Anolis sagrei: one gene and its partners. The protein of the gene in region 2 purifies or fractionates together with the protein of the main gene of each other region. This does not show direct contact. Links are inferred from orthologs where the notes say so. Each region holds a gene or a part of one and is shown on either strand. Other genes may lie near its edges. The genes, in order: HSF1, HNRNPA2B1 and HNRNPH3.

Region 1 (10,198 bases), on a different chromosome or scaffold from region 2:
CCATAGCCACCCTTTTTGCCTATACACATCTTCTTATCGGAACCCAGGAAATCCCTTGTTCCCCCGTCTGCCTCCCCTGCCGTGAAACAACAAAGGGTGTTCAATCAGCTGGCGGACGCCTCCCAGGCATTCCGCCCCTCCACGCTGTCAAAATACATCCCGCCTCCTGGCCGCTGATTGGACAATCTCCGGAGGCGCTCCGAGGGCTCTGATTGGCCCCCTGGAGGCGACAGCGGCCGGCGATTGGAGGGAAGGCGGGACCAGCGGCCAAGCCTCCTCCCAGCTGTTCTGGAGCCGGCCAATCAGGACAGAGGGAACTGACAGGAGGCGGGCGGGAGATTCAAACCAGGATTTCTTTGTTTCTTCTGTATAAATATGCCTGAAATTCACTGTACTGCATGCTTATTGTGGATTCATCCCTTTAATGCATCCTTTTCAGCTGAATCGCTAAATAAACGCCTCGGTCGCAGATCTCCTCTTCAGCCTCTGGTGAGATTGATTTTCAACGTTTTTGCGTCTTTTTGAATTGGCATCCGCTGGCAGCTCACCAAGGTCGGGACCCCATTCGCGGTCCTTAGGGACTCTCCTCGCTGGGAGTACCCCCCAAAAGAGCTCGATATCATTTGGCTTTACCACGAAGGGACTGCTGCTTGAGGTTCCAGACTAAATTATAGCCTAAATTCTCAAGCAGGCGCCTTGGACTGATTCTTCGGGCCAGTGGCGGCAGAGGAGCGGCTGGGGAAAAGAGGCGCCTCTCCCAATTCGGACTTTCATTTGACCAAGCTAACCAAAAACTACAAATTCTCCCTCAGCCACCTCCTCCCAAGCTCTGACCTGGGGTTTCAGCACAAAGGAGCGCCAGGGAAGCCTTGATCTAAGGACTTCCAGGAAGAGGAGCGACCGACGCGGAAAGGGGGGAAGAAAACGTCCGGACGGGTAAGAAATCAACCGCGGGCTGCCTTGGCTGTCAGGTGGGAGGGGATTCTAGGTTTTCCGAACCAGCTTCGGAGTTGGCCCACTGGGGAGGGATTCTCTAGGTCTCGGTAACAAATTCCTGGCGGGAGGTAGCGAACATCCACGTTTGAGGTCCAGAATAGCAATTCAGCTCGCTTTTGCGGCCTTGGCTGGAGCTACGTGGGAAAGGGAGCCCTTCCCTTTCGGACTGCCTAGCTGCCAAGGGCTGATCGCCCCGGGCTCTTCTGCTAGGGAACCGTTCAGGCTCTAGCCTGCCTTGCGGTTGGGGGGGGGCTACCCTGATTAGCCACTGGTTTGTGGGGCTACCAGGAGAGATGGGCGCATGTCATTCTGGGGTCAAACGTCCTGTCTCATTGGAAACACCTTTAGGAAGAGTACTGGCGGAATGGGACAGGGTTGCGTCGCTGACGCAGGCCAGTAGGGTAAAAAAATCGCATGGAAAGGTGGCCCACCAGGCCCTCAGCAGGTGGAGTTTCGTGGCCCCTCATGGCAGTCGGATCGCTGTGAGGGGGCCAAGGGGACCGAACTCGCCTCTGCCTCATGCTTTTTTGCCATGTGCCGGAGGAGGTGGAAGGGGGGTAGTTGTGGCCAACTCCTACCATGCAAGGGGAAGGTGACAAAGCCCCAACCCCCAGGAAACCCCCTCCAGACCTTTCCCCCCTCCCTTTGAAAATTGCTTGTTCCCCTACCATCCCATTCCCATTTCCCTTTACCCAATCTCCCTGACTCCTTCCTTCCCTTTCCAACCCCTCCATTTCCCTATTCCCTATTATGAAATGTCTGCATCCATATGCCCCTCCTAAATTTTTTTCCCCCCTGTTCCTTGAGGAAATGCGCTAGGGAAATTCTTTGCTCTCCTCCTCTCCTGCTTTCTCCTGTGCCACCTTTTTTTCCTTCCTTCAGATGGGAAAAGGAGGCATTGCTCATTCCCTTCTCCCCCAAGCTACTACAAAATCCCTTCTTTCTCAAGCTGAATCTTCAGTGCCTGTTTATTTATAATAAACAGTGTTTCTCCTCGCCAGGAGAGACCCTGCCACTGATGTGACTCAGCTGCCTTGCAAAAGTCTCTCTCTCTCCTGGTCTCCCTGACCCAAGAGCTCTCTTTTTCTCCCCTTCTCTTCTGTGCAACTACAAAACCCATTTTTCAGGGGCAGTCACCAATGTCCCTGCCTTATCCTTTGTTCTCTCTTTACTCCCCAACTTCCCTTTTTTTCTCTCAAAACCCCTCCTCCCTTTCTCCTCTCGCAAAGGGAGGTGTAAGAGGGGACCTTTTCTGTTCCTGTTTCCTCTTGCCAAACAAAGTTTTCTGGCTCTCTCTCTCTCTCTCTCTCCCTGCTTTTCCCCTTTTCTCTCTAAGAGCCAGACCTCACCAAAGAGTTCCATGTGCTTGTGAAATGTCTCTGAAACCCATCCTTTCTCTCTCTCTCTCTCTCTCTCTTCCCTCCCCTCCCATCCTCTAAGAAGCCAGTATTCTGTGAATTCTTTCCTCTATCTCCCAGAGGAATCCTGCTGCTCCCTCTTACCTCCTTCTCCAAAAAACCTAAGGAAGGGATGTTCCAGAAGCATTCCCTCCTGACATTTCACCCACATCTGTGGTTAAATCTCTCTCTCACACACACGCAGTCCCTCTGATGCTCTTTTCCTTCCTGGCCCTTCCTCCCTCCCCTTTCCCTGAGCGCATGTATGTGTATGTCTAGATTATCCCATTAACTGCCTTAAATATGAAGGGGGCGTCGAGGTCCAGGGGTCCCCTCTGCGCAGTAAAGAGCAACTGATCAAACTGTGGGACCCATAATCCACTCCTGCCGCTGAGGACAACTACCTGGGCGAGGTGAGCAAGGGAGGTCTGTGGACTTTCCTGTGTGGAACCCAGATGGCACAGGAAGATCCCAGGAGAACAGGACCAGACCCCATGCCGCCCAGAAGAGACAGCCCCTCCTAGAGGCTGATCTGAGCCCCCACGGGGGAATGCCATCGCAGGAGGAGCAACCAGGATCCCACAGCAACTGCCATGAAGGAAGGAGGCCCTGCCCGTTCCAGAAGCTGTGCAGAGGGGTGGCCCAAAGGAGACCACTGACGCCCCCACTAGGTATGAAAGTTTTTTCCCTTTTGTTTCCCCACTAACTACCCTTGGGCTGGGAAGGGGGGGGGGTGGGGGGGGCTGTAAACCTTCTTTCTGACTGTCCTAGACACTATCCCTGAGTCTCTGTGATGATGGAGAGCCGGACCGGTCTGCGGTCACCAGGAGACGCCACGCCAGAAGGAGTAGCAAGGCTGTGCCCCATCTTCTCCCTCCCCCAAGTGCCAAGGGAGGAGCCAGCGCCCCCAGGAGGCCTGAGGACCACGGCCAGATGGGAGGATTCCACCATGTGCCATCCTTCTCCATTGGGAACTCACTCTGGACCCCTGAGTGCTCCATGCTGACGGCCATCACAGGCTCCATCATCCCCTGCCTCCACCGTCTTCACCTTCTTACTTCAGTCTCTTTTTCTTTCTCCAACCCAAAGAACACTCCGCCACTGGTCTCTCCCACCCTGCTGGGTCCTGCTGTTGTTGCTTGAGTGGGGCCCCGAAATAATCAACAGAATACAATCTAATCAGTCTAGAAAGAGGCCCTGAGTGCTTGGGGGGGGATTGTCGAGGCTTGAGGAAATGAGTGTGACCATTTCCCAGCCTCGAAGGGAGGATTTGATGCAGAGCATCTTTCCCCCCCCCAAGTATTTGTAGTTCACCAAGGGCCGGACAATGGATTCTGCTGCTTCCTGACCCAGATGGGACATAACTGGGTTCCTGTTTCCTCTCTGTGAATTCTCTGGCTTGTGCACTGGACCCTGGCCCCTGATCAGGGAAATGCAGTTCCCCAAAGGACATTGCCCCACTCTCCACTATTTGCAGATTCTTTTGCGGACCTTTCTGCCCTCTCTGATCGACTTGGTGCCCTAACATCACGGACTTCCTCCATGAACTCAAAGCCAAGCCGCTTGGGGAGAAAGAGCCCCCCGCCTGTGTGTGCGTGCCCTTGTTGAAAAGGATCATACCTCGGGAACTCTGCTGATTATCTCTATCAATTGCTGTGGTTTTCTAATAAACTTTACTGGGATGGGATGGGGATCTTTCCTATGGAATCTATGAGTTATGAAAGCCTATGAAGAAAATATGTATGAAGTATATGATATATGATGAAATGAAATGAAATGAGATGTACCCTCACCCTCCTTCCTTGCCTTTTCCCCTCTTGAACTTTGCCCTATTGAAAGATACGTGACCTGGGGTTACAGTAAGGAATCCAATTTCCTTGGAAAAAACTCCATTCATATTGACATTGCATGGACAAATACTGGTCACATCTGTGGCTTTGTTTTCAGTGTCAGACGAACAAAGCCAGAGATTTGCCAGCCAAAAACCCGGAAAAAACAGACTGATTAAATCAATCAAGGTGTTTTGTGTACGCTCCTTTGTGACAAAGGACCCCTTTGCCCACAAGGTTGAGATCCAGACACCACCCATAGCCACCCTTTTTGCCTATACACATCTTCTTATCGGAACCCAGGAAATCCCTTGTTCCCCCGTCTGCCTCCCCTGCCGTGAAACAACAAAGGGTGTTCAATCAGCTGGCGGACGCCTCCCAGGCATTCCGCCCCTCCACGCTGTCAAAATACATCCCGCCTCCTGGCCGCTGATTGGACAATCTCCGGAGGCGCTCCGAGGGCTCTGATTGGCCCCCTGGAGGCGACAGCGGCCGGCGATTGGAGGGAAGGCGGGACCAGCGGCCAAGCCTCCTCCCAGCTGTTCTGGAGCCGGCCAATCAGGACAGAGGGAACTGACAGGAGGCGGGCGGGAGATTCAAACCAGGATTTCTTTGTTTCTTCTGTATAAATATGCCTGAAATTCACTGTACTGCATGCTTATTGTGGATTCATCCCTTTAATGCATCCTTTTCAGCTGAATCGCTAAATAAACGCCTCGGTCGCAGATCTCCTCTTCAGCCTCTGGTGAGATTGATTTTCAACGTTTTTGCGTCTTTTTGAATTGGCATCCGCTGGCAGCTCACCAAGGTCGGGACCCCATTCGCGGTCCTTAGGGACTCGCCTCGCTGGGAGTACCCCCCAAAAGAGCTCGATATCAGGAGCAAGCTTCCTTTCTGCTGCCCTGGAGACTAGGACGCAATGGACCCATGGCTTCAAACTACAAGAGAGGAGATTCCATCTGAACACGAGGAAGAACTTCCTGACTGGGAGAGCCGTTCAGCAGTGGAACTCTCTGCCCCGGAGTCTGGTGGAGGCTTCTTCTTTGGAAGCTTTGAAGCAGAGGCTGGATGGCCATCTGTCAGGGGTGATTTGAATGCAATATTCCTGCTTCTTCGCAGAATGGGGTTGGACTGGATAAAGGCCCATGAGGTCTCTTCCAACTCTTGGATTCTAGGATTCTATGATTCTCAAGCACGGCTGGCGGGGACTTTCTTGGTGGTGGCTCCTCGGCTGTGGAACGCCCTTCCTACGGACATTAGACTAGCACCATCTCTAATGGTATTCCGCAAAAAAGTGAAGACCTGGCTGTTTGTGCAGGCGTTCGAATAATTAGTGCAATGATTGGTTAATGAACATTGGAACGGAATAATGGATGACGAATCTGGATCATGTTTCTGATGATGAGATGATAGCGAATAGTGAATGGTTACTGTAGTAATTGTTTATTAATTATGTACTATGTTCGGGTTGTTGAATGTGTTTTTATACCGTGGCCTTGAATTTTTGCTGTTTTTGCTGTTCTAATTGTTGTGAATTGCTGTGAGTTGCCTTCGGGCTGAGAAGGGCGGTATATAAGTAAAGTAAGTAAATAAATTAATAAATGTAAACAAAAATAGAGCATTCTAAGCGATGTAAACAAAAATAGCTTGGGGCTTTCTGAGTTTTTTTCAGACTACAACTCCCAGCAGGCATTATGAACGCTGCCTTTGGTGCGCCCTTCTGGGAAATGTAGTCCATTTTTTGAAAAGAAAAGATGCGCATGCGCAAAATTCTAGATAAAGGATATGAGAGAGAGCGAACTGTGTTGCTGAGGTCTTTTTGCAGGCAGCACTGCGCGTGCGCACTCCTTCGAGGGAGCCACTGCGCACGCGCGGGGCCGTCCTTGCTGAGGGGGGCGTGTATGCGCGAAGTGCGCGTGCGCAGGATTCCCCCAAGATGGCGGCGGCCATGCCTGGATTTTCTGAGGCGCTGCTGAGTGCGCAGAGAAGGGCGTCCGGCCTGGTGAGGGCCCGCTAGCCGAGCCTGCCTTGCCGGCTGGGAGTCGGAGCGAGGGCCTCCGGAGGAGGAGGACGAGGAGAAGGGCCGGGCATGGAGGCCTCGGGCGTGGGCGCGGCCGGAGCGGCGGGCAGTAATGTGCCGGCCTTCCTCACCAAGCTCTGGACCCTCGTCGAGGACCCCGAGACAGACGCCCTCATCTGCTGGAGCCCGGTGAGGAGGAGGGAATCCGAGGGAAGGAAGGAAGGGACCCCCCAAGGCCATCCAGTCCCACCCCCTGCCAGGCAGGAGAAGCACCACCAAAGCCCTCCCGACAGGTGGCCCTCCAGCCTGTGCAATCACCAAAATAATAGCAGCCACCCAGGAGGAGGAGGAGGAGGGCGGGCATCCGAGGGAAGGAAGGGACCCCCAAGGCCATCCAGTCCCACCCCCTGCCAGGCAGGAGAAGCACCACCAAAGCCCTCCCGACAGGTGGCCCTCCTGCCTGTGCAATCACCATAATAATAGCAGCCACCCAGGAGGAGGAGGAGGGCGGGCATCCGAGGGAAGGAAGGGACCCCCAAGGCCATCCAGTCCCACCCCCTGCCAGGCAGGAGAAGCACCACCAAAGCCCTCCCGACAGGTGGCCCTCCTGCCTGTGCAATCACCATAATAATAGCAGCCACCCAATCTGCCATGAGGGAAAAGTACAGTCAAAGCACTCCTAACAGATGGCCACCCAGCCTTTGTAATAATAATAATAATAAGGAGCCACCCATTAAAGAATCCTAGAATCCTAGAGTTGGAAGAGACCTCCTGGGCCATCATCCAGTCCAACCCCATTCTGCCAAGAAGCAGGAATATTGCATTCAAAGCACCCCAGACAGATGGCCATCCAGCCTCTGTTTAAAAGCCTCCAAAGAAGGAGCCTCCACCACACTCCCTCTGGGGCAGAGAATTCCACTGCTGAACGGCTATTGATGCAGGATTTTGGCCTGCATCAATAGGAGCCTAGTGTCTAGATCTAGGGAAGTCATGCTCCCCATGCTTTATTCTGCTTTGGTTAGACCACACTTGGAATATTGTGTCCAATTCTGGGCACCACAATTCAAGAGAGATATTGACAAGCTGGAATGTGTCCAGAGGAGGGCGACTCAAAGGATCAAGGGTCTGGAGAACAAGCCCTATGAGGAGCGGCTTAAGGAGCTGGGCATGTTTAACCTGAAGAAGAGAAGGCTGAGAGGAGATATGATAGCCATGTATAAATATGTGAGAGGAAGCCACAGGGAGGAGGGAGCAAGCTTGTTTTCTGCTTCCTTGGAGACTAGGACGCAATGGAACAATGGCTTCAAACTACAAGAGAGGAGATTCTATCTGAACATGAGGAAGAACTTCCTGACTGTGAGAGCCGTTCAGCAGTGGAACTCTCTGCCCCGGAGTGTGGTGGAGGCTCCTTCTTTGGAGGCTTTTAAACAGGGGCTGGATGGCCATCTGTCAGGGGTGATTTGAATGCAAAATTCCTGCTTCTTGGCAGAATGGGGTTGGACTAGATGGCCCAGGAGGTCTCTTCCAACTCTTTGATTCTATGATTCTATGAACGCAGTTCACAACAGAGCAAAAAGGCGGTCATATCAAAATAGCAGTAAACAATTTAAAACCACGAGAGCATAATATACAAGTAATGGCACATCAATAACAACACAATAACGTCTCGTAACTAGAATCGTGAACCAACTCGTCGTCTATAATTCCGTTCCTATATTCATCGTATTCATTGCACTGTTTATCTGAATGCCCGTTCAAACATCCAAGTTTTTAATCTTCTTCAGAACACCATCAGCGAGGGGGCTGATATTACCTCCATAGGAAGGGTGTTCCACAGCTGGGGGGCCACCACAGAAAAGGCCCTGTCTCTCATCCCCACCAGCCGCACCTGTGAAGCAGGCGGGATCGAGAGCAGGGCCTCCCCCGAAGATCTTAGAGTCCTGGTGGGTTCATAGGCAGAGATACGTTCGGATAGGTAGCTTGGGCCAGAACCATAATAATAGGAGCCACCCAGTCCAACCCCCTCCTCCTATGCAGGGAAAGCACAGTCAAAGCACCCCGAACCATTGAAATAATAATAATAATAATAATAATAATAATAATAATAATAGGAACATCCTGCCATGCAGGGAAAGCACAGTCAAAGCACCCCTAACACATGGCCACCCGGCCTTTGAAATAATAATATATTTCAAGCCACCCAGTCCAACCCCCCATCTGCCATGCAGGGTAAGCACAGTCAAAGCACCCCCAACAGATGGCCACCTAGCCTTTGAAATATTATTATTATTAATAATAATAATAATAATAGGAGCCACCCAGTTCAACCCCCATCTGCTATGTGTGGTAAGCACAGTCAAAGCACCCCCAACTGATGGCCACCCAACCTTTGTAATAACCATAATAATAGGAGCCACCCAATCTGCCATGCGGGAAAAGCACAGTGAAAGCACCCCCACATTGAAAGCACCACAGTGAAAGGCCACCCAGCCTTTTAAATAATAATAATAATAATAATAATAATAATAATAATAATAGGAGCCACCCAGTCCAGCCCCCTTCTGCCATCCAGGAAAAGCACCATCAAAGCACTGCTGATAGATGGCCATCCAGCCTCTGCTTAAAAGGAAGAAACTTCCACATGACTCCAAGGCAGAAAGTTCCACTACTGAACAGCTCTTCTTGCCGTCAGGAAGTTCTTTCTAATAAAGTTCAGGTGGAATTTCCTTTCCTGTAATTTGAACCCATGACTCAGCATCTTAGTTTCCAAGGCAGCAGAAAACAAAGCTTCTCCCTCTTCCTTTTGACATCCTTTCACATATTTATACAGCTGAAAATACCAGTTGGATCAAGGGAAGTCATGATCCCACTCTGTTCTACTTTGGTCAGATCTCAGAGCTTTGCTGGAGTCTTTTTTATGGCCTCATAAATTAGTTAATTTAGCCTCCCCACATAAGGTGGTACCTAATTTTCCTACTTGACAGATGCAACTGTCTTTCGGGTTGCAAAGGTCGACAACAGGCTACACAATTGGTTGGAAGCCCACTCCAACCCGGGCTGGCTTCGAACTCATGACCTTTTAGTCAGAGTGATCTTAATGCCGCTGACACTCAGCCAGCTACACCACAATCCCGGTGCAAATATTATTAATAATATTACATGGTATGTAAATATATAATTATAATTATAATATTGTATTATTATTACTAGTATTATATTGTATTGCATTATAATATTCTACGATTCTAGGGCAGGGGTTGCCTGGCAAGGGGAAGAGTTGGGCCTCTGCCTCCCTCCTGGAAAGCAGCACCAAAATGCATTGCTAACAGCAGCGAAAGCGACCCTTGAACACAAATAAGTCTCTCTTTTTTGGGAAATAAGCAGAAATGTAATCAGGGAATATGAATTGTGAGATCACAAGGGCCATCCAGTCCAGGCCCCTTTTGCCAGCCAGGAAAAGCACACTCCGAGCACCCCCAGCAGATTCCCATTCAGCCTTTGCTTCAAAACTTTCAGAGAAGGTGACTATCAGACTCAGAGACAACAGGAGATTCCACAGTTAAACTTTCAGGAAGTTCTTTTTAATGTTTGGGTGGAATCTCTCTTTCTGCAACTAGGGCTTCATTGTCTCCGGGTCTCCAGAACAGCAGAAAACAAGCTTGCCCTCTCCACTATTGACATTATTTTCTGATATTTGAACATGGCTCTCATGTCCCCTTCTCTCAGCCTTCTTCTTATTCCAAGCTAAACATCCACAGCTTCTATTCAGAAGGATTCCTAGCTTCCAGACCTCTGATCACTTCGGCCTCCCTTTGCTGGACACCTTCCATGTTGCCCATCTCTTTCTTGAATTGTGTTGCTCAGAACTGGACACAGTCTTATTCCAAATGAGCAAAATAGAGTCGAGTGGGACCTTCACTTCCATAAGACCCGTCGCAAACTCTGTTCCTGCGGGA
Region 2 (9,735 bases):
GGCGGTAAATAAGTGCAAGCAATAAATAAATAAATAAATAATTATGCCCCTAGTAGATACTTAAGTGTCACAAACTAATACATATTTTTTATTTATTGTAACTGCTTACAGAAGTATCTTGAAATGTTACAAACATGTCTACAGGCATGAGTTCTGTCTTAGATATGGCCAAGTTCTAGATATCTGTCTCTTACAGTTTTACAAAAGAAACTCCTTTCGGTTATAATGACCATGGAACTACACATCTTTTTATATTCTCAACATACAACACTGGCAATCTAAAAATTAATAAACAGGCAGACCAGTGCTTCTATATATCCATGTTATGTTTCTAAGTAAGCCATTGCTAAATTGTAAGTTTAATGCTAAAGTGGGCAATCTCCACATCAATAAGAAACTCTGCTATATATAAATAAAAAAATTCAGCCTGAGTGTTGCACTGCAAGCTTCCTTCACAGCTCAAACAGCAAGCTTCACGTTCCTAACGCACAGAAGTAATCTCAAAGAGGCTTGCCTTATGCTTAACCTGCAAAGAAAAAAGAAAAGAAAAAAGATTGGGCCCCTGCATTTCTTATCTGATTGTTTTAAGCGCCCTTATTTATGAAAATGGCCTGACAATTTTTTTCTTCCCCTGCACCAGGAATGACATGAACTGTGTTGACTTCTTGACTGTATCAATTATGTTTATTTAAAATAAGTGAGAAAAAGATTTTGAAGTGTCTGAACACAAATCAGTTACAATGATACAATATTCACCTAAAAATATCAAGCCACTGAAAAACATTTTAGATTGTGTGCCACTCACTGTGGGGTTTTTTTTAAAGAAGTTGCAATTCCTTGCTGTAAATCCAACTACTACTCCTACATATGCAGCCTCATTGAGTCTATTCTTACTGGGATTAGTACCTGGATTTAGGCTCTTGTGTCTTTAAATGTTAATACAGAGTGTAAGGCATCCTAAATAATTACTCAGATGCAAGCAGCCAAGTAGGAAAGCCTGCATCTTTCTCAACTGAAATGCAGAAACATATGCTAAATAATGAGGTATTAATTAGGTTGACACATGGACCCACAGCTCACTATATCTCCAAAAATACAGAAATATATACAAAAAAACCCCTATTTCATTTGGCTACATTTTGGATTTGACACTATCTGTCAAACATTCAACTTCAGGAGCCCATCTAGTTTAACTTCATTTTTTGTTTGAAGCAATTTATAAAAGCATATTATTTTTTCACAAATGTAACAAGATTCAGAATCCCAACCTATCCCTTCTATACTGCCATATAAAATCGAGATTATCTGCTTTGAACTGGATTATATGGCAATGTAAACTCATATGGCAGTGTGGGTGGGGCCTACGCCAACAAATAGAGGTAATTTGTTTTCATTTCTTCTGCCAGCAGACAACTTTCAGGTGAGCAATTTGCATTTTTATGAAATGTGGTCAAGCTGAGAACAGGATGGAAGATTACCCAAATTGCTACAGTAAAGTGGTGCAATGTTAAAGGAAACCAGGGCCCTTCTACACAGCCTATCCCACATTATCAAAGGAGAAAATCTCACATTATCTGAGTGTGGAATCAGATAACCCAGTTTAAAGCAGATATTGTGGGATTTTCTACCTTGATATTCAGCAATATAGGGATCTGCAGAAGGGCCCTCAGAAGATTTGGTGCAATGCAAAAAGGCACTTTTTGGCCCTTTCCACACAGCCAAATATCCAGAAAAGTGGTTCTCAACCTGGGGTCCCCAGATGTTTTTGGCCTTCAACTCCCAGAAATCCTAACAGCTGGTAAACTGGATGGGACTTCTGGGAGTTGTAGGCCAAAAACATCTGGTGACCCCTGGCTGAGAACTACTGATCCAGAATATCAAGGCAGAAATCCCACATTATCTGAATGTGGAGTCTAATTACTCAGTTCAAAGCAGATATTGTGGGATTTTCTGCCTTGAAATTCAGAGGGGCTTTTTTTTGTCCCTCTCCCCCCCTCCTCCCACCACCACTACATTTGTTCAGTTAGTTGATCACGCCCCATACGTAATCAACTAAGGGCTCTTCCACGAAGCTCCATATCCCAGAATATCAAGGGGGAAAATCCCACATTATCTGAGTGGGGTTTCAGATAACACATCTATGCGGAAGGGCCCTAGTTTTTGCGTTTGGAAGGGCCTTTGGTGAGACAATTGTTCTAGAAAATGCAAAAACTAGGTCCCTTCCACACAGATAACTGGGTTATCTGAAAGCACACTCAGATAATGTGGGATTTTCTCCCTTGTTATTCTGGGATATAGGGATGTGCAGAAAGGCCCTCAGAAGATTTGGTGCAATGCAAAAACGGTTACTCTTTGTGCTCTTCCACACAGCCCTATATCCCAGAATATTAAGGCAGAAATCCCACATTATCTGAGTGTGGACTCATAATAACTCAGTTCAAAGCAGATATTGTGTGTTTTTCTGCCTTGAAATTCAGGGATATAGGACTGTGTGGAAGGGACCTTCCACACAGATGCATTATCTGAAACCCCACTCAGATAATGTGAGATTTTCTCCCTTGATATTCTGGGATATAGAGCTTAGTGGAAGAGCCCTTATGGGGCGTGATCAACTAACTCTGCTGGACAAATCTGGTTGGGAGGGGGACGACAAAAAAACCGGTTCGTGTTAGGTATTTTTACGTAGCACATTATCCTTCCCCCGCCCCCTTGCTGAACTCCCGCTGAAAATGGTTCCGCCATGTGACGTCCCCGTGAATCCCAAGTCCTCAGCGGAGTAGGAGAGAAAATGGCGCCGAAGAAGACGAGGCGGGGGGAGGGGGGGTCGTTCCCAGAAGGCCACGAAAGGCTGCTCTGCTCTTCTGCGCGCGCACCCTGCCCGCTCTCGCGCTGAGGCGGAGAAGAGCAGGCGGAGGTCTTCGAATAGCACCCCCCTCCCCGCCAGGAACAAAGAGAGACGGTCTCTGACCCACACTATGGCCCGTGGGCCTGGGGGGGGGGGCTTAAGGGGGGTGCCAGAGACTAACACGGCCGCTTCCCCCTCCCAACCGCTGCGGGCCTTTCCAGAACCTTCCTCCCCCTCCCCAATGGCCTCATTAGAAGCATCCCAGTCGCGCCAAGTGCGCCACCCAGCGTTTCTGCGTCACTGCTTCCAAGACCTACGCTAATGGCGTACTCTGCCGCAGTTCGCGCAGGCGCGCCGCAATCTCCAACCCGGGGCGCTGACGCTTCAGCTTCCTATGCTACGCACCATGCTTGGAGTAACGCGCTTCGAGAATAGGACTCGTCTTTCGTGCTATGGCGGCCTTGATTGCTACGTACTTGGAAATTACCTCACCATTCCTCTCCCCTCCGCATTTTTAAACAAAATACTTTGATGTCCATTTATTAAACCATATCGAATTGTTCATTCCCCGTTTTGGCCCTTTTCCTCAAAACATTACTTCAGACTGAAGTATGCGACCGTTATTTAAAAAAAATGTTTTACAAGTGATCGTGCAGTGTGCGACAACAGCTCAAAGGCGCTTCGTCACCACAGGGAGGGTCCTTCGGCCATTTCCGGAAGACTGCCGAAGAATACCGATTCCCCCTCGCAGCCCCTTCGGCGATTTCCGGAAAAACCCGAACGGACAAACAATCCATTCTTTGCGGTTTCCGGAAAAAGCCGAAGAAGCACGAAGTGTCATCGCGCCAAAAAGGGGATGGGTAGGCGATGGATTAACGAAACCCCTCTCCTTTGTAGTGGCTCGATATAGTAAAATATATTTTTAAAATCCCTTCGTAAATGACGTTTATTTAAAAAAATCATATCAATACTGTTTTGTATCGCTTTTCCCTGAGGAGAAAACAAAATCCCAGGGATGACGCGGTGAGGAATCGGGCATTAAATCAGCTCTGTTGGAAACAATTTTCAAAATCAGGCCTAGGCGCTGCCTTTCCCTGTTTGTGCGCGCGCTTTTTCCCTTCCTGCGCCGCCGCCATTTTCTCCCCTCGCTCGAACTCACAGGGACACAATGGCGGCGGAGTTTCTTTTTTCCTCCCCCCTTCAAAGTAAAAGCCGGCTATTAACCGAGCCACTCTGTCCGTTACCTCACTCACCCAGTCGCTCTCCCGGTCTCCGCGAGGCATCTCGGCTGAGGAAACAGCGAAGGGCGCGATAGAGTGAGGGAAGAGAGGCGGGAGGCGCGCTTTGGCTCCTTCGGCGGCAGGAGACGAAATGCGTGAAGCGGCTAACGACCGGCGGTGCAGATAATGGCGGCGGCGCATGCGCAGTGGCGAGCGGGAAGGGGGAAAGGGGAGGGCTTCTCCCTAGGCCCCGCCCCTTTCCCCTCGCGGCGGCGGCGGCGCCTTCTTCCACACACAGCGCGCGGGGAGCCAACACAGTTCGGAGGAGCCGAGCAGACGCTGGGCCGCCGCCATTGAAGTCCGTATCTTTCTCTTTATCTTATTTTATCCTTCCTTTCCCCTCCCATCTCCACCTGCCCTCCTTTTTAAAGCCCCTTTATCATAATCCTAATTGCAAGAACAGCATGAGCCGCTCTGAGGGGAAAAGGGCCGCTTACCTATATATATATATTTATGTAACTCGAGAAAGCTTCAGGCGTGGCCTCCTCCTCCCTTTCCTTTCTCCTCCCCTCCTCCATTTCCCTTTTTTTTTCTTCAAACGCCGCCTTATGACCCATGAAAGGGATTGGTAATGAAGCCTTTTGCAGTAGGCCTCTTTACAAACAAAATGGGGCGTTTTGCAGTAGGCCTCAAAAATTAGCTTGAGGATAATGTGAGGCCGCCCACCCAAGACCCTCCTCCGTTGCACTCTCCAACTTTAAATGTGTAAATGGCGGCCTGACCGCCATTTACTGGTAAGATCCATTTCTCCTTTCCTTCCATAAAGGAAGAGGCCCGATGAAACGGAGGCTGGAGGCGGTGAAAAGGAGTGACATCCCTCCAAGCGTCAGGTCCTCAGATGGGTAGCTCTATGCTTGGAAATGGGGGGCCAAAAAGAAGGATGGGGTCCCTTTGGGATATTTGGCCAGGCATTTTCACCCAGTCTTATTCTCCTGGACTAGCTTTACCCGCCACGCGTTGCTGTGGCCAACCTTCCCTCCCTCGTTCTCTCCTCCTTTCTTTCTCACCTTCATTTCTTCCCTTTTTTTCTTTCGTTCTCTCCTTTCTTCTCTTCCTCTTCCCTTCCTTCCCCTTCCTCTTTCTCTCCTTTCTTCCTTCTCTATTCTTGGACTGCAACTCCCAGCAGTCCTCCTGATCAGTCTATTTATCTCTCTCTCTCTCCATCTAATCCAGTGGTTCTCAACCTGGGGTCCCCAGATGTTTTTAGCCTACAACTCCCTGAAATCCTAACAGCTGGTAAACTGGCTGGGATTTCTGGAAGTTGTAGGCCCAAAACATCTGGGGACCCAGGTTGAGAACCACTGACTATCTATCTGGAGGATTCCTGGGAGTTGCAGTACAGGAATAGGAAATTGGAGGTATGCAGGGATTGGTATGCTCTCAAAGAAATCCAAGGAGAAGCAAACTTGCAGCTTGGAAGCAGTGCATTTGCATCATCTTCCTCTCCTAAAGGGCCTGGTCTAGGGGATGCTGGGAGCTCTAGTCTGGAAGAAAGTGTGGATATGCTATTGTGTGTTTTGTTTGTCCAGGGTACTCATTTTGCACATGCACTGTAACATCTCTTTGCATTTGTGGCTTTTTAAGTCCCTTCTGCTGTGTTTTTCAGTATTTTTATGAGTGATGGTCACTTGTTGGCCTGATAGGTGTATTGTGTCCAAATTTGGTGTCAATTCGTCCAGTGGTTTTTGAGTTATGTTAATCCCGCAAATGAACATTACATTTTTATTTATATAGATTGTGGGATTCTATCCTTTCTCTCCCCCCCCCCCCTTTTCCTTGCTTCTCGTGCTTAGCATCAATGCTTTGCTGTAGGCCGTTACTCTTTACATTCCATTTTTTTCGGAATGGAAGGATGCACTCACTACAAAAAAAAGGATGGCTGAAAGTGGAAGGGAAGCAGGCAGAAGGTGGTGGATTACTGGGTTGCAGAGTTTTCTGGGTGGTGGATTTGCTTTCATGCATCTCTTGGTTGATCCACCCCATCGGTTTGCAAAGAAACTCCTGTTAAAAGGCATTGGGACTGTAATATGAATTATTCTATATGTGTCCAGTGGCACCGTGGGTTAAACCACTGAGCTGCTGAACTTGCTGACTGAAAGGAATGAGCTCTCACTGTTAGCCCCAGCTTCTGCTAACCTTGCAGTTCAAAAAGATACAAATGTGAGTAGATAAATAGGTATCGCTCCAGCGGGAAGGTCACCACTCTTTACATGCTCGTCACATGACCAAGGACAGTAGTTCTCAACCTATGGGTCCCCAGGTGTTTTGGTCTACAACACCCAGAAATCCCAGCCACTTTACCAGCTGTTAGGATTTCTGGGAGTTGAAGGCCAAAACATCTGGGGACCCATAGGTTGAGAACCACTGATCTAGGAGATGTCTACGAACAATGCCGGCTCATTGGCTTAGAAATGGAGATGAGCACCACCTCCCAGAGTCAGACTCAACTAGACCTAATGTCAAAGGAAAACCTTTACCTTTTGTGTGTGTATGTTCTATAACTATGTTTAAGATTTGTTGTTGGAAGGCTTTCATGGACGGAATTACTGAGTTGCTGTGAGTTTTTCAGGCTGTATAGCCATGTTCCAGCAGCATTCTCTTCTGACATTTTTGCCCACATGTAGGGCAGGCATCCTCCGGGGAATTCCAGACAAGAAACCACCAGGGGCAGTTAACACCTCCCAACAAAGGATTCCCGCCAGACTTTGAATGCTTCTGGAACATAGCCATACAGCCCCAAAAAATCAAATCAACCTATGTTTAAGATTCCTAGGTCACGCATGTATTTGTTGTCTACTCGACCGCAATCTTGTATCTTCCTGAACTGTTAGAATTACCTGTACTATACATGGTTGTTCTTCAAAGGCTCCAAGATGGCTTGATGGATCTGAATCAAACTTCATTATCCAAATTAAAATCCTGCCAAATCAGAAATGGTCTCCCCTTTCTTTTTAAAATGACATATATTGATGGCCCATGAGTCTTATGATGCAGCGTTCCGATAGCTTACTCAGAGAGGAAGATGACAAATAGAGGAGGTCTGGAGTATCAACAGGGAGACACACTAGGAGACCCCTTCCATCAAGCCATGTAGGGCCTTTGAGGGACATAGATAAATGTTGTATATATTGATATTATGGCTGATTTTGTGACCCCTGAAATGTTTCTGGACTTCAGTTCCCAGCATCCCCAGCCCTGGTGTAGCTAATTATGGGGAAACCAGGGGATTGCAATCCAGCATCATGATATCACCCCACTTTGAGGTTTTGCAGTATAAGCTTTCTTTGCAAATGTTTGGTTTGAGATCAGAATGTGTGATGTTGTTAGTGAAAAGGCATGGCATGTTTTGTAGGTAATGCTTAACTCCAAATGCCTAGTGTCATAAGTAATATAACTTCAAATGTTGCTAATGTACTTGAATTTTGGAATCACATTGATAAAAAAGGGACCATATTTGTTTTCAGATGCCTTTCTCTGAGTAATACACATTCCTTTTGTCATGCATTTTTCTAGTAAAAGCTCAGCAAGTCTGCAATAAAAATGGCCACCAATAAATCTACATTGGTAAGTTCACAACCACATAAAATATGTAAGGATTTTATCACCATATTTCTTCAGATTTATTGTTGGCATTTCTGTGTAAAACACTGGTTCCAAACTTTTGGTCCTTCAGGTATTTTGGACTTCAGCTCCTACAATTCCTTACAGCTGATAAGATGGCTGGGACTTCTGGGTGTTGAAGTCCGAAAACTCTAGAGGACCAAAGGTAGGGAACCACTAGTGTAAAAAGATACATCCACATCTCCCAGCATTATTTACCATATTTTTATCCCGCCCTATCTCACCCTCAAAGGGGGACTCATCGCGGCTTACAGTTTGGCACAATTAGATGCCACATCAAAACAGAAATAACAAATTATAAATATTTTAACATTAATTACACATAAAAACGAGCACATATAAATACAATTAAAACAGGATTGAAAACAGCAATTAAAACAACCACAAATTCTGTAATCAGAGTCCTTGAGCCATTCCAGTTACAGTCACATTGATTTCCAGCTGTCTATTGCATTGTAGCTAGTCTCCGAATGTCTGGTTCCAAAGCCATATTTTCTAAATGTCAGGAGGGAGGAGGCTGATCTCACATCACTAGGAAGAGAGTTCCACAGTTGAGGGGCCACCACTAAGAAGGCCCTGTCTCTAGTCCCCACCTGTGACGGAGGTGGAACTGAGAGCAGGGCCTCTCCAGAAGATCTTAGCTATCCTGGTTCATAGGGGGAGATGTGTTCGGATAAGTAAGCTGAGCCGGAACCGTTTTGGCCCAGCTTACCTGTTATTGTACCAAATAAAAGATTGTGAAAGTAAGGCAACTGGAAAGAATACAAATTCTGGCATCAGTGGATTTGCCAGGTTCAGGTAAAAGTTTTAATACTTGATGCGTGCTCTACACATGATGCAATTATTCATTTCTGTGTAGCAGAAGGAATGACCCAAGTTTCATTCAGAGAAAAATGCTAAATGTAAAATATATTGCCATTGATTTAAGAGAACGTTTTGCAGAAACACAACATCTAGTAGCAGTAAAGAAACTACTGCTGATGCCATCTATATTTACATGGCCACTTTGTTTCAACTGCAAACATTATATTGATAAATAATTGACACAAGATTAAAATGGAATTTTTAAATTACACTTTCTTGACAAAGTTGAAAAAAATGCAGTTTTATTTATCAACTCCAAGGACAGTTGATACATGTTACATACCAGAAAAGAAAAGCAGACTTTTATGTTGCATATAATTAGGAAATGATATTTTTTTTAAAAAAAAAAATGCTAGTATCACGTTGCTCTAATGCATTGCTTCTCAACCTGTGGGTCCCCAGGTGTTGGCCTACAACTCCTAGAAATCCCAGCCAGTTTACCAGCTGCTAAGATTTCTGGGAGTTGAAGGTCAAAACATCTGGGGACCCATAGGTTGAGAACCACTGCTCTAATGCAAATAGATAGTGCAATTTCCTCTGGGATGGTATGTACAATTTGGGTCGTTGCATCTTATAAAAGATGTTGGGAGGGTGAAAGAAATACTGAAAAGGACACCTAGAACAATCAAGGCACTAAAACAACTTCCATGTGAGGCAGAACAGCAGTATATTGGGACTTCTAAGTTTAAAAGAAAGCAGAGTGTATAAACACAGAATCTTGTATCAGGACGGAACCACAAGGACCATCTAGTTCAACACTGCCCTGCATGAAGATAGCCCCTGATCTTCTGATTCCACTCCCTTTATACAGTAAAGATGTTCTTCTTAATGTTTAGGAGGATTCTCTTGTAATCTGAGTAAGAAAGACATCTATAATGTTATGCGTGATGAGGACAATTTTTCTATATAGTATAATATTGGAAACCATGATATATGTAGCAGGATAATGAAGGCAGGCAGTTAACAGCCTGTGTGACTTTAAAAGAGAATGGAATACATACATTGAAGTTAGGATCATCAGTAGCTACTAGTAAAGAGGGTTATGTTTTGTATCCAATACCAAAAAACAGGATTCTGTCCAATGCAGCATAGGGGGTGCAGCTGCATTCATGTCTTGCTGTAGGG
Region 3 (10,257 bases), on a different chromosome or scaffold from region 2:
GTCTGACTGTTTCGGAGTGGGGCAGCTGCCTGAGAAAGCAAAGTTAGGATGTCATGAAAGAGCAAATTTTTAAGATTTATTTTATCACTTTATTTTGGCTTTCAGAGATGGGAAGAGAACCTTCTGTAATTAGAATCAGAGAGTTGGAAGAGACCTCATGGGCCATCCAGTCTAACCCCCTGCCAAGAAGCAGGAATATTGCATTCAAATCACCCCTGACAGATGGCCATCCAGCCTCTGTTTAAAAGCCTCCAAAGAAGGAACCTCCACCACACTCCAGGGCAGAGAGTTCCACTGCTGAACGGCTATCAGAATCAGGAAGTTCTTCCTCATGTTCAGATGGAATCTCCTTTCTTGTAGATTGAAGCCATTGTTCCACCTCCTAGTCTCCAGGGAAGGAGAAAACAAGCTTGCTCCCTCCTCCCTGTGGCTTCCTCTCACATGGCTATCATATCTCTTCTCAGCCTTCTCTTCTTCAGGCTAAACATGCCCAGCTCTTTAAGCTGCTCGTCACAGGGCTTGTTCTCCAGAACCTTGATCATTTTAGTTGCCCTCCTCTGGACACATTCCAGCTTGTCAATATCTCTCTTCAATTGTGGTGCCCAGAATTGGACACAATATTCCAGGTGTGGTCTAACTAAGGCATCTAACTAAGCATTACTTCCCAAGATCTAGACATTATGCTCCTATTGATGCAGTCCAAAATCCCATTAGCTTTTTTGCCGCTACATGACACTGTTGGCACGTTTAACTGGTTGTCCACGAGGACTCCGGATCTTTTTCACACGTACTGCTCTCGAGCCAGGCATTGTCCCCCATTCTATATCTTTGCCTTTTGTTTTTTCTGCCTAAGTGGAGTATCTTGCTTTGTCTTTGTTGAACTTCATTTTGTTAGTTTTGGCCCATCTCTCTAATCTGTCAAGATAGTTTTGAATTCTGCTCCTGTCCTCTGGAGTATTGGCTATCCCTCCCAATTTGGTGTCTGCAAACTTGATGATCATGCCTTCTAACCCTTCATCTAAGTAATTAATAAAGATGTTGAACAGGACCGGGCCCAGGACGGAATTATCTTCCTCATGTGCCATAAAAGTGTTTGTTTATTATGTACCTTATCTAGGATGGATGGTCTGTTCCATCTATCAGTTCACCTCTCAGAAAACGTCTTTAACCAGCCCCAAATGTTCTATGAAATAGCCCAACATTATAACTTGAACAAAGCTAAATTTATGCACAAGGCACTCTGGTGTGTTGTGCCTGCGCCAAGGACTGCCAGAACATGTAGAAGTAAGGGATTAAGGACCAGAGGCGGGCCTAGGTAATTTTCAACGGTAAGCAAACAGTATTTTGGCATCCCCCCCCCCCCCCCCCACCAATCACTGATATATATTTTCTGTTTGTCGTGGGAGTTCTGTGTGCCATATTTGGTTCAATTCCATCATTGGTGGAGTTCAGAATGCTCTTTGATTGTAGGTGAACTATACATCCCAGTAACTACAACACGCATAAGTCAAGGTCTATTTTCCTCAAGAGCGCCTCAAGAGCACCCCTGGGCAAAATCAACTATACTGCAAAGCTTACTTTGTGTAATGGGTTGAGCCGCCCCTGATAAGGACATAGGACTTGAATCACCACAAATCATACACAATTACAACAATGTATAGGGATCTCTTTTTTTTTAGCAGTCAGATAGTCAGCAGAAAGATAACAGAAGATTTTTTTATTGTATCAGGAGCAGAAGATGACATCTAGTGGATAAGCCTCACAGTGTTTCAAGCAGCCCAAACGCCAGAAGAATAGATTTGTAAATGATGACTAATAAAGGAACAGAAGAGGATGATTGGAGGCAAATTATGATGCTGCAACTTGAAATACTGAATCTGTTGACAGAGCCAACAAAAGATGGGTTGGACTGGATGATATTTTCAACAGGGTCAGAAAACTTGATATCAGATTGGAAACTTCCAAATGACAAAATCAATTTTTTGAGTGAAGGACATACACTGGGTTGTTAGGTGTCTTGTGTCCAAATTTGGTGTCAATTCGTCCAGTGGTTTTTGAGTTCTGTTAATCCCACAAATGAACACTACCTTTTTATTTATATAGACTAGCCGTCCCCTGCTATGCGTTGCTGTGGCCCACTCTGGTGGTCATGGGGGTTCTGTGTGGGAGGTATGGCCCAAATCTACTGCAATTTGTCCAGTGGTTTTTGAGTTCTGTTAATCCCACAATCTATCTTTGGACAACACTAGAGATGGCTGGAGCATTTCCAAACTTTCAGTGTAGGAGGCCCCATGCCTGGGTCTTCATATCTAGGTAAAGTGAGCAAAGTAGGCTGTAGGAAAATAAACTCCTTTTTACTGAGTCAGAGCACTGACCCTGATTCGGGGCCGTTGCAGTCCCTTCCTTACAGGTTTTGACATTAGGGTTTGGGGAGGGGGTTGTAGTGGCCTGTGAGGCAGGTGTTACTCATCCCAACTGTAGAAGTGCATTGGGTAAGAATTATGGAAGTTATAGCTTGTCAATATCTGAAGGTACATAAATTGCTACTTCAGCTCTATATAAAAGTTAAGAAATGTGTTCCCTGCTGGAAAATGTTTTCTTGATAGCAGAGGGAACTTAGCATGGTTATGCCACGTCAGCTCTGCAGATTTATGTCAAGCTTATCTGACGTTACTCTCTGAAACACCCAGGTTGCATTTATTTCTTTGTTCCTTTATGCATGAAGGAGTCATAGCTACTTCTGTAAACAAACCCAAAATTAAGCAAAAATACACACACACAAGTTATTATGCATTTATTTTTTTAAAGGCAATGCAATGCAGAGATGGGAAGTTAAATACTTATCAAATTATGTCTTAGGTTCTTGTGGTTTTTTTTCGGGCTATAGAGCCATGTTCTAGAGGCATTTCTCCTGACGTTTCGCCTGCATCTATGGCAAGCATCCTCAGAGGTAGTGAGGTCTGTTGGAATTAGGACAATGGGTTTATATATCTGTGGAATGGCTGGGGTGTATAACCACCTGTCTTGTTTGTATAACCACCTGTCAGAAGCAACTGTTATCTGACATAGCGTATTATGGGACTGAGTCATCAGGTTGCTCACTGAAATGCAGGCAGAACAAACAACTCTTTAGGGTGAAACTCTATGAGGAGTGTCTGAAAGTGCTGGGTATGTTTAGCCTGCAGAAGAGAAGGTTGAGAGGAGACATGAGCAATGGATAAATATGCAAAAGGGAGATAAATATGTCATAAGGGAGAGGGAGCAGGCTTGTTTTCTGCTGCCCTGGAAACTAGGACATGGAGCAATGGGTTCAAATTACAGGAGAGGAGATTCCACCTGAACATTAGGAAGAACTTCCTGACTGTAAGAAGAGCTGTTCAGCAGTGGAACTCTCAGGTTTGGTGTCTGGTCGAAGCTCTTTCCTTGTAAGATTTTAAACAGAGGCTGGATGGCCATCTGTCGGGGGTGCTTTGATTGTTCTTTTCCTGCATGGCAGGGAGTTGGACTAGAGGGCCCATGTGGTCTCCCCCAACTATAATTCTATGATACTATGATTCTGTGCTATAAGGGTCTTAATGTTTGGGGTTTTTAATTAGTTAATTTAATAAATTTTATATTTCTGAATAAATAATGCACGTGATTGGTCTCTGTAACCTAAACTGTAACTAGTTAAAGTCATATTGAAATTAATAAAAACTGCACTTTAAAGTCATATTGAAATTAATAAAAACTGCACTAAGTCAGAAAATGACTGAACAATTGTCATGTTTAAGATAAAGGGAAATGTCAAAAACTTACATCTTCAAGAAGACAAACGGCTGCAGGGTTGCCACGAAATGGTTGATCTGTAAATGCATCAACGGTGAACATAGAAATCTGCATTTTCTCTGGTTTTGCTGGTTTTCGGAATGTTCTCTTGCAAAATGGTGACTCTCCTTTCTAACTGTTGCATAAACGTCTCAGTTAATATTAAACTCAAGGAAGGGAAATTGTTAGCAGCTTTATCTGCGGCTATAGAACATTTATTCTTCTATGCAATTGGAAGCATTTTATCTTATGTTTAGAAGAAAATCCCTTGAAATGTTAATGATCAATTATGTCTCATTAATTAATTCATTAACTACTAAAATTGAAGCATTCTTTCCATGTATATAGAAATGCAATAAAGAACTGCAATGATTAATAGAGTCCCATGCCTGTTCGCTTGGATCAAAGTCCTGAGGTACAGGGCTGATTCCCAGGTGTCATGCCACAAGGGTCATAGTTTCAGCCTTATGAGGTGCACCATGGGATGCAAAGGCAGCAAAGGCAATTCTCTCAACAAAGGCAGAGTCCCAAGACCTCTAAGACACACAATAACATCCGCAGCACGAGACACTATATCAATCCATACTCCCCTTTGCAGTATTTGGGCCCTTGATTGACTATGGAAAGTCCTTAATAATAATCATCATCATAGAATCACAGAATCAAAGAGTTGGAAGAGACCTCATGGGCCATCCAGTCCAACCCCCTGCCAAGAAGCAGGAATATTGCATTCCAATCACCCCTGACAGATGGCCATCCAGCCTCTGTTTAAAAGCTTCCAAAGAAGGAGCCCCAACCACACGGGGCAGAGAGTTCCACTGCTGGATGGCTCTCACAGTCAGGAAGTTCTTCCTCATGTTCAGATGGAATCTCCTCTCTTGTAGTTTGAAGCCATTGTTCTGCGTCCTAGTCTCCAAGGAAGCAGAAAACAAGCTTGCTCCCTTCCTCCCTATGGCTTCCTCTCACATATTTATACATGGCTATCATGTCTCCTCTCAGCCTTCTCTTCTTCAGGCTAAACATGCCCAGCTCCTTAAGCCGCTCCTCATAGGGCTTGTTCTCCAGACCCTTGATCATTTTAGTCGCCCTCCCCTGGACACATTCCAGCTTGTCAATATCTCTCTTGAATTGTGGTGCCCAGAATTGGACACAATATTCCAGGTGTGGTCTAACCAAAGCAGAATAGAGGGGTAGCATGACTTCCCTAGATCTAGACACTATGCTCCTATTGATGCAGGCCAAAATCGCATTGATTTTTTTTGCCGCCACATCACATTGTTGGCTCATTGGTCCAGATGATTGGAACTAGGAAAATGGGTTACAATTGTTCATTTTAATTATTGCATTGCTTTTACGGTTTTTTTGCGCTATAAATAAGATATCTGCAGTGTGCATAGGAATTCATTCATTTTTTTTCAAATTATAATCCGGCCCTCCAACAGTTTGAGAAACTGTGACCTGGCCCTCTGTTTAAAAAGTTTGAGGACCCTTAGTATAGATGTTAAAAAGTATTGTATTCGTTCATGAATACATACATGTATATAAATTTATTTCTCTGCTTTGTATAACTATGTAAATTGAAAATAAACAAAGTTTAATCTTTAAAAAAAGAAAGAACTGTCGAAAGCCCTCTCAAGCGAGGCAAAGATGAGGAGAAAAAGGCGACATGCCTTTATTAAAAGAGAGGCTTCCTTGTCAACTGAGGCCCCTTGAATAAAATCCCACATTATCTGCTTTGAACTGGAATGTATGGCAGTGTGGACACAGATAACCCAGGTCAAAGCAGATTATATGCCTTGATATTCTGGGTTATATGGCTGTGTGGAAGGACCCTGAGGTACTAGAATGTCCTTGCGGCCTGCTTTCCGCTGCAGGGAAGAAATGCATCCAAAAGGGGCCACCGCCATCTTACACTCTCTCTCTCTCTCTCTCTCTCGCTCGCTCGCTCCCTCCCGCCTTTCCGCCTCGGCTCCCCTCCTGCGCATGCGCTGCAGCCTGCATCCGGGCACCAGGACGCGACTTTCCTGTCGGAGGCGTTCTCGCGAGACGCGTCGACGGCGCCATCCCTCCCGCCTCAGCTGCGCAGCTCGCTCCGCCGCGAGCGCTTCCTGGGCCTTTTTGAGGGCGAGTTCGGCGGGGCCCGTTGCGCCGGAAAGTCAGCTGGGGAAGGGGGTGAGGTGCTGCCGGTGAGTGGGGAGGCGGGAAGGGGCCCGGCGGCGACCCCGCGGGGAAAGAGCGGGCCGAGTGGGCGGGCCCGCCTTCTGGAGCCACGGCCGGGTCAGAGAGAGGGGCCGAGGGAGAGGGAGCGGGTCAAGCGGGAGGGCCTGTGCTTTGGGCGCGAGGCCTGCCTTTCCCTCAGGCGCCATGTTTAATGCGAAGAGCGGGGAGGGAAGTGTGGGCGACGCCTGGAGGCGCGGGGATTGGGCCCTCAGTCCACACAGCGGGCGAACAGGAGGGAGAGCGGGGCAACGAACAGTAACGGGCCGGCGCGCGCCTGACAAAAGGAAAGGCCGTGCGCGCGCGCGCACACACACACAGGCGCAAGGCCTCCAGGAGGATCACACCCCCTTCTACCCCCCTCCTCCTCATCCTCCCGGAGAGCGGGCGTTCTGGCCTCTGCCACGCCCCCTCCCACCGTTCTTTGTGGGTTTTGCGCCTGCGCGATCGGCGCGTGCGTGCTCAGAGGGCGGGGGGATTTCCTCGCAGAGCGCCCTAGGCGTTTGCAAGGCCTGTTCTGTTGTAGGGCTGCATGGTTACTTGCTGCGAGCGCTTCGAAAAGTGCTGAATCTGTAATCTCTCGTTCATAATTTGCATTAAGAAAAACTAACACACAATCAACAAACATACATAGAAAGTGAGAATACAAACCGTACCACAAAAGGAGTAGAAACACGAGGGGGATTTTTTAAGTAAGGTCCGTTTTGTTGTAGACACTAGTAGTTCGCGCGCATACCGCAACGAGCGTGTGCGTCGTGTACCGGCATGCTTGGGAACAACTGTACTCAGTTTCCGCTCTGTAGCTAGCCTGTACGGTTCTGTTCTGTGCTTTAAAAATGTTTAAAGCACAGAACAGATACCTAACTGACCGCCTCTCGGCCTATGAGCCTACGAGGACTTTGAGATCTTCCGGGGAGGCCCTGCTCTTGATCCCGCCTGCGTCACAGGCACGGCTGGCGGGGACGAGAGATAGGGCCTTCTCGGTTGTGGCTCCCCGGCTGTGGAACACCCTTCCCGTGGACATCAGGCTAGCCCCCTCCCTGTTGATTTTCCGCAGGAAGCTAAAGACCTGGCTGTTTAAGAAGGCATTTGATCAAAAAGTGCAATGACTGGAGATTTGACCATAGGAATGGAACAACGGAAATGATATCGGACAGTGGGTTTGATGATGAGACGATTCGGAATGTAGTAGAAATTTTGTAGTATTGGTGATGTTTGATAAGATGGTTTTTGATAATGATGATTGTGGATATCTTGCACTATGACTTGTAATTTGCACCTGTTTTTATGTTGTACACCGCAATGAGTCGCCCTCGGGCTGAGAATTGCGGTATATAAGAGCAGTAAATAAATAAATAAATAAATTTAAGACTATCAACTCACCCTCCAACTCATACTCCAGAGGACAGGAGCAGAATTCAAAACGATCTTGACAGATTAGAGAGATGGGCCAAAACTAACAAAATGACGAATCTGGAACATGTTTTTGATGACGAGACGACAGTGAATGGGTATTGTAGTAACTGTTTATTAATTGTGTAATGTGTTAGGTTGTTAACTGTTTTTATACTGTAGCACTGAATTTTTGCTGTTCGTATTTGTTGTGAACCGCTGTGAGTCGCCTTCGGGCTGAGAACAGCGGTATATAAGCAAGGTAAATAAATAAATAAATGAACAAAATGAAGTTCAACAGGGACAAATGCAAGATACTCCACTTGGGCAGGAAAAACGAAATGCAAAGATACAAAATGGGGGATGCCTGGCTCAAGAGCAGTACGTGTGAAAAAGATCTTGGAGTCCTCGTGGACAACAAGTTAAACATGAGCCAACAATGTGATGTGGCGGCAAAAAAAGCCAATGGGATTTTGGCCTGCATCAATAGGAGCATAGTGTCTAGATCTAGGGAAGTAATGCTACCCCTCTATTCCGCTTTGGTTAGATCATACCTGGAATATTGTGTCCAATTCTGGGCACCACAATTCAAGAGAGATATTGACAAGCTGGAATGTGTCCAGAGGAGGGCAACTAAAATGATCAAGGGCCTGGAGAACAAGCCCTATGAGGAGTGGCTTAAGGAGCTGGGCATGTTTAGCCTGGAGAAGAGAAGGCTGAGAGGAGATATGATAGCCATGTATAAATATGTGAGAGGAAGCCACATGGAGGAGGGAGCAAGCATGTTTTCTGCTTCCCTGGAGACTAGGACACGAAACAATGGCTTCAAACTACAAGAAAGGAGATTCCATCTGAACATGAGGAAGAGCTGTTCAGCAGTGGAACTCTGCCCCAGAATGTGTTGGAGGCTCCTTCTTTGGAAGCTTTTAAACAGAGGCTGGATGGCCATCTGTCAAGGGGTGATTTGAATGCAACATTCCTGCTTCTTGGCAGGGGGTTGGACTGGATGGCCCATGAGGTCTCTTCCAACTCTTTGATTCTATGATTCCGCATGTGAGGTTCGCTCAGTGATACGGTTTTTGTCAGCAAGGAACCTGCCTGCTGCAGAAATTCATCAATAGATTTGTGAAGTGTACTGTGATACTGTTATGAGTGAAAGCAAAGTGCGTAAATGGGTACAACAATTCAAAGATGGCCGTGACAATGTTCATGATGAGGACCACTCCAGTCGCCCTTCTTTGATTACAGACGATTTGGTGGCTTCAGTTGAAGCAAGCGAACCTCATATGCGGAGGGTGAGTTGATAGTCTTAAACATTTTTAAAGCACAGAGCGGAAACTGAGCACAGTTGTTCCCAAGGCATGCGGTATGCGCGCAAACTACTAGTGTCTACAACAAAACGGACCTTACTTAAAAACTACCCCTCGTACAATTTCCTAATCTAGAAAACATGCTGCTACAATCACTAAAGAATAACTACCTACTTAGTCTAAGGGCTTTATATCTCTGCCTGATTATTCTATTTTCTCAATGTTCTATGCCCATTAAAAGAATTGAATCTAATTTCTGTGTTCAGTTTTTGTGCTTGATATTAAGTTACCTTAGGGCTCAGTGAGAAGTACTTCAGAGAACGCATGTGTAATAGGAATTTACTAAAAGGGTAAGTCCTGCTTGCTATTTATCTTAGAGAACAGGATAGCAATACTGTTCCAGAATATTGACTAAAAAGTTAGAAGGCATTTTCAGTTATAGTAAGGGCATATGTTAAGATACAGAATCGATCCTGTTTTTCCACCCTGTAGTTTGTAATCAGCTGTAACATACTGATTGTATTGTAAATGGCCTGTTTAACAAAGTTACTGCTACAAACAATGCTTTTTTGGCCTTTATTTATTTTTCTGAAAGGATTATATCATTTCAATGCTACATACAATTCAGAGACGCCTGTTTACAGCAGAACACATTTTGAACATGTTCTAGAAAACCAATCCCATTAATATAAAAAAAACCCACTTCTATTCGTATGACTGTAATACTGTGTTACCCTTTTAGGCTTGATGTAGTTTACAAGTATTTATTTTGCTGTGTAGTATAGTTCTGAAGCAACAGAATACATTTCTTATTTCTGAAAGTATGAATAGCTTTTGTACTTTAGTTATTGCACTCAGTGACATATTTGGTTGTGTACAGAACTGTTACCAAGTTATCTGAGAATAGGCCTCACTGAGTATAATTAAACCCAACCGTTGAGTAAACAGGCATAGAATTGTGCTGTTTGTCCAATTCTTAGGCAAGCATTATTAAAATAGGAGTTAGTGTGCATTGATACAGTCTGCTGCTTATACTATTCAAAGTTTTTCAAGTGGGAAATTGTCTTATTTTTTAAATGCCTGAAGGGACCTGTAAATTTCAAAACTTTTGATGACACATACATGTGTCTTTGTTACTACATAAAAAGATAGCCTTGAATACTTTATGGGACAATCTCTCATGCCCTGTTTTGTCCCTCCTACACATTTTTGTGTAGCATGAGGAAAGCATTGCACCAGTGTTTAGCAAACTGCTCTGAAAAAATGAATTCATTTTGAAGTTTCCTGCTTGAGAGAGCAGTTCGTTTTAGGATGGAGTTTATCCATCTCTTTCAAGGAGAAGGAATAAAAAGAGGTGATCCGAAAAGGTATAGCCATTTCTGATTTATAGGAGCTATGACGACAAAGGCTGTAATGCAGTGTATGTTCATATTGGAGAGAGGAAAAAACCTGAACATAGTTTGATTTATATCTGAATAAATGTGTAGAGGAATTCTATTGGATAAAGTAGGTCAACACTGGGAAACTTGTG

What was found.
Region 1: the proteins of HNRNPA2B1 (region 2) and HSF1 purify together in Homo sapiens (affinity purification with mass spectrometry; 3 studies listed by BioGRID, with this or other methods). This does not show direct contact. The link is inferred for Anolis sagrei from reciprocal best matches to the Homo sapiens genes HNRNPA2B1 and HSF1.
Region 3: the proteins of HNRNPA2B1 (region 2) and HNRNPH3 fractionate together in Homo sapiens (co-fractionation; 3 studies listed by BioGRID and IntAct, with this or other methods). This does not show direct contact. The link is inferred for Anolis sagrei from reciprocal best matches to the Homo sapiens genes HNRNPA2B1 and HNRNPH3.

What each region holds. Positions count from the first base shown.
Region 1 is NC_090024.1:2,716,403-2,726,600, forward strand, and holds the start of HSF1 (heat shock factor protein 1), read left to right. Parts: upstream 1-6,114; 5' UTR 6,115-6,311; coding exon 6,312-6,431; intron 6,432-10,198. UniProt on the Homo sapiens protein: Functions as a stress-inducible and DNA-binding transcription factor that plays a central role in the transcriptional activation of the heat shock response (HSR), leading to the expression of a large class of molecular chaperones, heat shock proteins (HSPs), that protect cells from cellular insult damage.
Region 2 is NC_090026.1:91,776,742-91,786,476, reverse strand, and holds the start of HNRNPA2B1 (heterogeneous nuclear ribonucleoproteins A2/B1), read right to left. Parts: upstream 4,282-9,735; 5' UTR 4,267-4,281; coding exon 4,090-4,266; intron 1-4,089. Other genes in the region: CBX3 (chromobox protein homolog 3), read left to right, coding at 7,666-7,689. UniProt on the Homo sapiens protein: Heterogeneous nuclear ribonucleoprotein (hnRNP) that associates with nascent pre-mRNAs, packaging them into hnRNP particles.
Region 3 is NC_090023.1:170,439,661-170,449,917, reverse strand, and holds the start of HNRNPH3 (heterogeneous nuclear ribonucleoprotein H3), read left to right. Parts: upstream 1-5,831; 5' UTR 5,832-5,993; intron 5,994-10,257. Other genes in the region: phenazine biosynthesis-like domain-containing protein, read right to left, coding at 3,799-3,882.